3 linked regions of the Xenopus tropicalis genome follow. The protein of the gene in region 3 purifies or fractionates together with the protein of the main gene of each other region. This does not show direct contact. Links are inferred from orthologs where the notes say so. Each region holds a gene or a part of one and is shown on either strand. Other genes may lie near its edges. The genes, in order: dcaf7, dyrk1a and fam117b.

Evidence for each region.
Region 1: the proteins of fam117b (region 3) and dcaf7 purify together in Homo sapiens (affinity purification with mass spectrometry; 3 studies listed by BioGRID and IntAct, with this or other methods). This does not show direct contact. The link is inferred for Xenopus tropicalis from reciprocal best matches to the Homo sapiens genes FAM117B and DCAF7.
Region 2: the proteins of fam117b (region 3) and dyrk1a purify together in Homo sapiens (affinity purification with mass spectrometry; 8 studies listed by BioGRID and IntAct, counting the BioPlex papers as one, with this or other methods). This does not show direct contact. The link is inferred for Xenopus tropicalis from reciprocal best matches to the Homo sapiens genes FAM117B and DYRK1A.

Annotation. Positions count from the first base shown.
Region 1 is NC_030686.2:16,434,914-16,437,354, forward strand, and holds part of dcaf7 (DDB1- and CUL4-associated factor 7), read right to left. Parts: intron 1,686-2,441; coding exon 1,567-1,685; intron 1-1,566. UniProt on the Homo sapiens protein: Involved in craniofacial development. Acts upstream of the EDN1 pathway and is required for formation of the upper jaw equivalent, the palatoquadrate. The activity required for EDN1 pathway function differs between the first and second arches.
Region 2 is NC_030678.2:12,497,601-12,501,259, forward strand, and holds part of dyrk1a (dual specificity tyrosine-phosphorylation-regulated kinase 1A), read right to left. Parts: intron 2,108-3,659; coding exon 1,983-2,107; intron 1-1,982. UniProt on the Homo sapiens protein: Dual-specificity kinase which possesses both serine/threonine and tyrosine kinase activities. Exhibits a substrate preference for proline at position P+1 and arginine at position P-3.
Region 3 is NC_030685.2:52,494,784-52,498,442, forward strand, and holds part of fam117b (protein FAM117B), read left to right. Parts: intron 1-800; coding exon 801-921; intron 922-3,546; coding exon 3,547-3,659.

The sequences.
Region 1 (2,441 bases), on a different chromosome or scaffold from region 3:
AAAAAACCTAACTCATTCATACTGCACTGGGTTCAGTTGGAAGGGTTGAACTTGACGGACTTTGGATTTTTTCAACCCTGTGTAACTATAACTGCACAACCTGCAGGACCCATCACCGTGTACACTGGAAAACAATGACAAGACATTTAGGACTTCCTCTGAACCTTTCCTAGTTTAATTTATTAATGCCCCATCTTTTGCTGCCTGAATAATGCTCTAATGTAATTTATTCCCATCTCCAATTGGTGCTGTAAAAATGACACCACTTGGGTGTGTCCAAGATGGCGACCAAACCAGATGCATAAAGTGAGAGCTCTGTGTATCGATTGATCTCTTTGGCAGTTCTCTTCACTCCACACTCCATTTACTACTCACTCACAGTTTGCCAGCAACCACTGGAATGCAGTACTAAAAGCCAACATGGGCAAACATTTTCCATGTATGAGATCAGAGGCTACGCCCTCACTCACCCAGCCAGGTTCCCGCTGGACAAAAGCTTCTGCCAGACATTAACGCCAGAACCACCAGGCCCCCCTCCCAACCAAGAGCCTAGCGAGCCCACAATGGGGGACTTATTGGAAGCTATAAAAGAAACTAGAGCAGCCACTACCTCACAAATAGAAGGGATTAAGATCAACTTGTCCCTCCTGCGCCCGGACCTCTAATACATGAGAGGCCGCACTGCTGCTGTGGAAACTCAGGTCTCCCGAGGATACAATTAACCCCATACACAACACCATGCCATCAGTAACAGCAAATCTAAGCACTAATGGACAAAACAAAGACCTGGAGAATAGACTTAGGATGAGCAAGATCAGAATAGTGGGGCTCCCGAAAGGGTGGAGGGACAGCAGCCAGAGGCATTTATTTGCAAATGGCTATAGGATGTAGTGGAAGCAGATACATTCTCCTCACTATTCGTGGTGAAAAGAGCCCATCAAGTTCCTCCCAGGCCACCCCCACCGGGAGCACCACCAAGACCACCATTCCGACTCAAACTGCTCAACTTTAGGGAACGGGTCGCAGCTCTGAGCGTAGCAAGGCTCAAAGGCCCGATTCTATACAATGGCATCACAATCTCCATATATCTGGACTTTTCTCCTGCTATACAAGATGGCGACACCACACATTTTTTTTAAATTCTCCGGCAGAGGCAGATGAAGGAGAAGGAGGTGCCACCACCTCCCGCTGAGAGAAAGGCACTAACCATCCAACAACCCCCCTTGGGAATAGGGAGCACGGTAAAGGCCTGAATAACACGTCTCTGTGCTTGCCCTTACAGATACCCCAAGAGCAATGGGTTGGGCCTAGACCTGTACAAGGTCTTCAAACCGATTACTACTCTCTGAACAAATCTAAAGGCTCTAGCAACCCAGACCCGTTAAGTCAGGTGTCTCTTTACCCACAACTGCAATCCCCCCGCAGCCACAATATGGGCATGCAGCACAAAGCAACCCAGCAAACTATAGAGAGCCTCAGAGAAGTGTGACTGGAACTCACTCATGGGATAGTCTGTACATACCTTCCCATATCACATTTCCTACCGATAAACCAAAGGCTTCTCACCTCTTTGTCATGGGCAATGAGCTGCGTTTTCACATGTCCAGACACCAGATTAACCCTGCCAAGGACCTGTCCAGTCTCCAAACCCCAGATTGTGCATGTTGTATCAATACTTGAGGTTCCTGAAGGTTAAAGAAAATAATGTTATTCTGCAGTCCAATGAACATTCCTATACCCACAATACAAACAATAGAAAGTCCTAGCACAAGAGGGAAATGGCCGATATATGATGGTCTGATTTGTTCCAGACAGGGACAGTATATTGTTATCAAGCTGGTTTATATGTCCACTTGAACACTGCATGTAGTTAATATCGGCTTGCTAGGGAGGCAATTGAAGCGTGTATTAGGGGTTAGGTGAAGACTAAAGAGAGTGTTCTAAAAAGTAAGAGGTATAGAGTAACTGCACTGAATTGGTTTATATATCCACCTAAAAGAGAGTACAATGCATGTACATAAATGTGTTTGCTCGAAAGGCAAATGAAAACTAAAGATAACCATATGGACCAGAGGACAGATTTTAGCTGCTCATTCAGCCCAAGTCAGCAGCTTATCACCTGTTTATTTTAGGGCCCTCCAATGGGCCTACCAAACCAATATCTGGATGAAATCTGGGGTTTAAAAATCCCATCCCAATGGCCTGTATCCCCATTTTTATGATCTGATCGTTTGGCCCTAGGATCAGTCTGAAATCGCCCACCTGGAGGTGGGCATATTAAGTAAGGTCAGCTTAAAGAAGTTATAGAGTTACTGTATCAAGTTGGTTTATAAGCTCAGAGGCTTGCTCTCAGTGTTAGTTTGGGTGATGTTTTATGAAAATGCATTAAATAACCTTGGATCTACAAGGAACAGAGAACTGTGAAAAAGCAGGCCTTGCTT
Region 2 (3,659 bases), on a different chromosome or scaffold from region 3:
TTTCGCCCGTCACTAGACTTAGTACCTAGATGTCAATCCGGTTTGTAAATGCCCTCTGTGCTTTCTAATTTACAATAAAATATATTGGAAATATATATAAAGCTTAAGGGCAGGGGTACACGGGGAGATTAGTTGCCCCATGACAAATCTTTGTTGTCGTGGGCAACTAATCTCCCTGCCATGCCATCTCACCGGCTAGAATGTAAATCGCCCGTGGGGTGGCATACTCGTTGCTACGATGTCTCGCAGTCGCCCATAGTTGCCTTGAGAGGAAACTTCGGCCGACTGCTGGACATTGCAGCAACGCGTATGCCATCCCACCAGCGATTTACATTCTAGCCGGTGATGTATGTATTCTGGGACTGTCCCAAAATATAATGCTTTTTGGACTGAGATACTTGGGACTATGGACTCTTCTCTAGGCCTATTGAACATACAGACCCCCACACTCTGCTTACTGGGCCATACAGAGAGGATAACGCTGAATTCCAGTGACAGACTTTGCCTCCTACAGCTTCTGCACTATGCTAAAAAAGCCATTCTGATGAGCTGGGAAGCAGCGGAGACCCCAACACAGTCCTACAAGCAGCTTGTAAATGTCTCTCCAGCCAGAAGCTTACAAACATAGCCTCAGACTGGCCAGGAAAATCAGGAAAATTTGTGACAAATGGCTGGCAGAGATGTGAGAAGTATCAGTAACTGGGTGTAGTGTAGGAAAGCCCTGGTTATTCGTATCTCTTTCTTCTTCTCTTTTAATTCTCACTTTAAACTCTCTCTTGCGTTCTTCTTGTTATGTGTTGTGTAAACTTAAAACTCAATAAAGAAAAACTTATGGAAAAAAAATTATATATATATATATTTATATAGCACTGCAAGTATTGGCACTCACCAGTCCAAAGGCAATAGCCGGGTGCTAACCCAAGAGATGCATCCACTGTATACAGAAAGCACTCACGGCCTTAATGTCCAAAAAATTGAAATTTTATTTCAACATGCTATCTACGCGTTTCAATCCACAGAAGATCGTCATCCTGATGATGATCCTCTGTGGATTGAAATATGTAGATAGCATGTTGAAATAAAATTTCTTCATTTTTTTGGACATTAAGGCCGTGAGTGCTTTCTGTATACAGTGGATATATATCTATATATATATCCAAAAAAGACCAGCAACACAGAGTTATAGTGCTGGGCGGTATGACCAAAAATTTATATCACGGTATTTTTTTTATTATATCGGTATCACGGTATTTGACGGTATTTTTTTTTCCCCATGCATGATTAGGTGACCACCCCAAACACCCCCCCCAACCCCAAACACCCCCCCCCAACCCCAAACACCCCCCCAACCCCAAACAACCCCCCCAACCCCAAACACCCCCCCCAACCCCAAACACCCCCCCCCCAAACCCCAAACACCCCCCCATCCCCTTCACATAAATATAACTTACTGACCAGGCAGCCGCAGGCACCCCCGACAGCTCACAGAGCCTCCTGACAATTTTTCTTACTATTTCCGGGTTGCGCGCGTGACGTCAGCGCGCACAACCCGGAAATAGTAAGAAAAATTGCCAGGAGGCGCCCACACCGGTATGCCGGTAAGTTAAAAATTTTTATCATTTTTTTTTTTAAAAAAATGGTGTTCGGTATATACCGGTATACCGCCCAGCACTACAGAGTTATATTCCAAAAAGATCAATCGTGTATTAAAAACACATGTTTATACATCACATCGACGTTTCGGTCCTGGTGTGGGACCTTAATCAAGATGTTACACACAATAAAATACACATATAAGTGTAACATCTTGATTAAGGTCCCAGACCAGGACCGAAACGTCGATGTGAGAGATATCTAATACAACTATATGCAGCACCCAACCATGTCGGTGTCAGGACCGAAACTGAATTAGAGTGACTGTCAGTTTTCCTGATATTCTGACAATAAAATAAAGTGCAATAAAACAGGCATTCTGAGGGTACCTGAGGACTGTGCGTCTCACAATCCATAGCCTGAACAGCAGCTGTGAAATGGCCACCACTGTGTCGATGTTGATGAGTAGGGTCAGACCTTGCTCTTCCACTGTTGCTTGTACCAGACGAGCCACCTGATACATAAATATATGTGTGATAGAAATATAAATCAAGACGTCAAAAACGTAGAAAGCAAATCATCACTGGGTTATTATAAAGTCACCTATCTGTACTAATGCAACCTGCAACAATAGTTGCCATCTGTCTAAGCTATACACACTTTTTGTATTTCATAAAATTCCCTACTCCTAGCAACTTTGCAATTAGTCTTTATTATTATTATTTTTTTATTATTATTTGCCTTCCTCTTCTGCAACTTTTAAGCTTTCAAATGGGGGAGGGGGGTTCACAGACCCCTGCAGCTAAAAACTAATTCTCTGTGCACTTACAATTTTATCATTATTGTTACTTTTTATTCCTTATCTTTATATTCTGGCCCTCTCCTATTCATATTCCAGTCTCTCATTCAAACCATGGCCTGGTTGCCAAGGTAAAGAAGACCCTAGCAACCAGACAGCTGCTAAATAACTGAAAAACCACAAAAAAAAAAATTTTTAAAAACCAATTGCAAATTCTCTCAGAATATCAATGTCTATGTAATAGTAAATATAAAGTCGAACAATCCCTTTAAGGCCTGTGTCAAATGCAAGCTAAAACTTGTGCACGGTGGCCGTCAATCAACCCATGAATGATGAGTGTACTTACGCCTGCATTTACTACTTGTCCTGAAGGGCGGCTATGAAGGCATAAGGGCAGGTTAATAGGCCCTGGCATTTCAAGTACACAGAGGCCCAAACAGCCCCCCAGCCCAATAAATAGTGACTGTCTGTGGCACCTTACAGCCCCCCTGGCATTCCCAGTACCCAGAGGCACAAACAGCCCCCCAGCCCAATAAATAGTGACTGTCTGTGGCACCTTACAGCCCCCCTGGCATTCCCAGTACCCAGAGGCACAAACAGCCCCCCAGCCCAATAAATAGTGACTGTCTGTGGCACCTTACAGCCCCCCTGGCATTCCCAGTACCCAGAGGCACAAACAGCCCCCCCAGCCCAATAAATAGTGACTGTCTGTGGCACCTTACAGCCCCCTGGCATTCCCAGTACCCAGAGGCACAAACAGCCCCCCCAGCCCAATAAATAGTGACTGTCTGTGACACCTTACAGCCCCCCTGGCATTCCCAGTACCCAGAGGCACAAACAGCCCCCCCAGCCCAATAAATAGTGACTGTCTGTGACACCTTACAGCAGCCCCTCTGGCATTCCCAGTACCCAGAGGCACAAACAGCCCCCCCAGCCCAATAAATAGTGACTGTCTGTGGCACCTTACAGCCCCCCTGGCATTCCCAGTACCCAGAGGCACAAACAGCCCCCCCAGCCCAATAAATAGTGACTGTCTGTGGCACCTTACAGCAGCCCCTCTGGCATTTGCCTGAACCCACAGATTGCCAGTCCGGATCTCATGTGAATCATGAAACCTCACTGTAAAACATTAGTTCTATATAAATACAAGACAAAGCCTTTAGATTTATAGAGACTTTGTGGAAGGAAATAACAGCATTTAGCAACACAAATTAAACCATACTAAATGAGCGTTAGTAACCTTAAGAATGCACAGTAAGGAGTTTCC
Region 3 (3,659 bases):
TACCATAGATGGTATGCTGAAATAAATCACTGACCTGATTGATGCTGTAGCTGTGAGTGCTTTCTACTGTTAAGTTTGAGATATATATATATATATAATCTATCTGCTATTTCTAGAGAATGTCTGTTCAAATGTTACTCCATTTTAAACCACCAGTGTATTGAAGCAAAATGATTGCAACAAAATTTTTAAGTGGCACTGCAAGTGACATTGTGCTGCAGTAGCCTCAAAGGAGAAGTTGCCATTATATTTTAGTATGTTATAGAGTAAGCTTTTGTTGACAATCAAACCACTTTTTCTATTGCAGGTTTGAAATAGGCAAGCAAATAATTAATAATAAAATAAAAAAAAAAAAGGAACAGATAAAAAGTTGCCAAGATCAATGTCCCAGACTGGGAGGGTTACATTTTACTGTTACTCTTATGTTATATTGCTTAGCTTCTTTTTAGGCCCTGTTTTATTCATCTTCTGTTCTAATTTCCAGAATGATGCCTGGGTGCTCAGATAATTTAGCTCTAGCAACATTGTCTGAAAAAAAAAAAAAACTTTATAAACCACAAATAAATGTTCAATTATAACTTTACAGGATCTAGATGAATATACCTCACAGCTTTGGAACAGACTACAGAGAACTAGGGAAATACTCATATCTTCTACTGTTTTGGGGTTTATTTTGAGCTGGGATTTTAGAACCCTCAAATGAAACAGGCATATTTATAGTAATTTGTAAATGGCAATACTTTTAATGGCAAAGCATTTTTCATCCATTATTAACGTAAGGCATTTGTTTTGGCCTGCAGAGAATGGAAATCATTCCCCTCTTCCCAAGTATGCTACATCCCCAAAACCAAACAACAGTTACATGTTCAAGAGAGAACCGCCTGAGGGTTGTGAAAGGGTGAAAGTATTTGAGGAAGGCGCGTAAGTACAGTTTGGCGAACACTGTGTTGTCTTTGTTGTTTTGTTTTCTTCTTTAAAGATCCCAATCCTTAGCTGTGTGTGCTGTGTTTCTTATACAAGAAACAAACAAGGGTAGTAATAGGTTCACAATAGAAGGGAATTGTATATCTATAAAATAATGTTTGAAGTGCTTTCTCATTTATGCTACTAGATACTAAGTTATGTAGTAACTTAAATACTTGTGAATATAAGACTAAAAACTAATTATATATGATACAGAACTATATCTACCCATTGCAACCACATTCCTACAAATTATGTATTGTGTGGCACACCAGTGCTTTGCTCCACTGGCAAAGAAGCTCCTGTCATCACTTGGCCTGCCTGCCAAAGACTTGAACCTGACACAAGTAGATTTTGACCTGAAAATCTGCACATTTTCTGCTCACACTTGCCTGTCACTTCTGGTTGCTATTCACTACAATGGCTGGTAGCCTGAGCAGTAACTGCCAGTGGAGTACCCACCTACTGTGGCATTGGCCTTAGAAATGGTGGCTTCATTATACAGAGCTGGTTATATTAAATGCAAGCCACATGTAGCTAGAGTTGGCAGCTGACTCATCCATGTCAGGGCACAGCCTGTAAATTTTACTCAGCTCTCAGGACCTGGCAGCCAGTGCACATTTCCAAGTTACACTCTGAACTGTTCATTGCCAACAACATTGCCAGAATGTGAATTAATCTGTGTAGGATTCAAGGAATGAGATATAAATCCTTGAGGATTAGTGCAAGTTTACATTATTTAAAGAATAAACAGATTTTCATTTTGCATCTATGCATCTAATATATGCTAGTAGGCGAGCACAGTAACTTTGCAGAGAACCATAAGACTCCGTTATTTACAGGGATCTACAAATTTCAGTGGACACCAGTTTCTCTGTTGGCCCTCTTCCCCCCCCCCCCCCCACTTACCAGAAACATTAATGTGCCTTTCCCTCATCTGACATCAAAACTAGAAAAGGCCATTCATTTTTCCTTCTGTTCCATTTGGTGGCATTTTTTTAGACAGAAAACTCTGTCTGTCTTTGTGTGAACTCAAAATTCCACTATAAAGCCAGAAATGGGCACATACTTTGAGGCCACTGGGAGCAACATCAAAGGGGGTGGTGAGCAGCATGTTACTCACGAGCCACTGGTTGGTGATCACTGCTCTAGGGCAGTGCTGTCCAACTTCTGTGGTGCCGAGGGCCGGATTTTCTCTAGCATACATGGTGGAGGGCCGCTAATGGAAGCCAGTTTTGACCACTCCCCCTTTTTAAACTACACCCACTTCAAACCACACCTATTTTATCACAATGGTGGTAGCACAGCAAAATCCCAAATGCTAGGTGCTTACAGCGAGGATGTCAACCGTCATTCATATGTGAAAGAATTATATTATGTCATATTAAGATATACCCTTAAATCCATATGCCTCCTCCTCCCCTGTGGATAGCACAGCAACCCCCAGCACATAGTTACACACCTTAGGGATCATTTAATGGCTATTTCCAACTGCTAACAAACCCACAACAAACCCCTGCCAGGTTCACCTCCCACAGGCAGCATAGGGCAGGCAGAGTATGGCACACACAGGCAGCACTCTGCCTGCCCTATGCTGCCTGTGTGTGCGCCATACTCTGCCTACCCTATGCTGCCTGTGTGTGCCATACTCTGCCTGCCCTACCCAGCCTGTGTGTGCCATACTCTGCCTGTCCTATGTTGCCTGTGTGTGCCATACTCTGCCTGCCCTACCCTGCCTGTGTGTGCCATACTCTGCCTGTCCTATGATGCCTGTGTGTGCCATACTCTGCCTGTGTGTGCCATACTCTGCCTGTGTGTGCCATACTCTGCCTGTGTGTGCCATACTCTGCCTGTGTGTGCCATACTCTGCCTGTGTGTGCCATACTCTGCCTGTGTGTGCCATACTCTGCCTGTGTGTGCCATACTCTGCCTGTGTGTGCCATACTCTGCCTGTGTGTGCCATACTCTGCCTGCCCTAACCTGCCTGTGTGTGCCATACTCTGCCTGGACTATCCGTTTGTGCCATACCCTCCCTGCCCTATGCTATGTTCCATAATCTGCCTACTCTGTGCTCCCTGTGTGTGCCATACATAGTCCAGGCAGTACCTAGAATGTCTGAGGTGTGAACGGGGGAACAATGTGTGTGATTACAGCCTGAGCCTGAGGTGTGAACTCTACAGGGGGTGAACAATGCAGGGATTAAAAGGTGTGAACAACACAGGGGATTACATGTTTAAACAATACAGCCGGATTACAGCCTGAATCTGAGGTGAGAACCATGCAGGGGGGGAAGTTAATCACAGTACTGATACCATTTAAAGCTTACACAAAGGTAAACCATCAAAACAGCCAGACAGGTGGGGGGCCACACAGAGGGGAGTCGAGGGCCGCCAGTTGGACAGCACTGCTCTAGGGTATTAGGGTGGGATGCTGCTAAAGATGCTTTTAGGGTTTCCCTCAAGTCTGTCTCATTAGTATAGAAAGAGAATTGGAACTTGTAACCATCAACTTTTGTTTTTTTTTTTAAAAATCCAGAATAAGTAAGTGTATTTATGTAGCAATTTTTGTGTTTTGTTTCTTCAGGCCAAAGCCACTGCATGAAATTCCACCATTTTACTGTCCTGATAAGAACAAAGTGAATTTCATTCCAAAGAGCGGTTCTGCTTTTTGTCTGGTCAGCATTCTCAAGCCTCTTC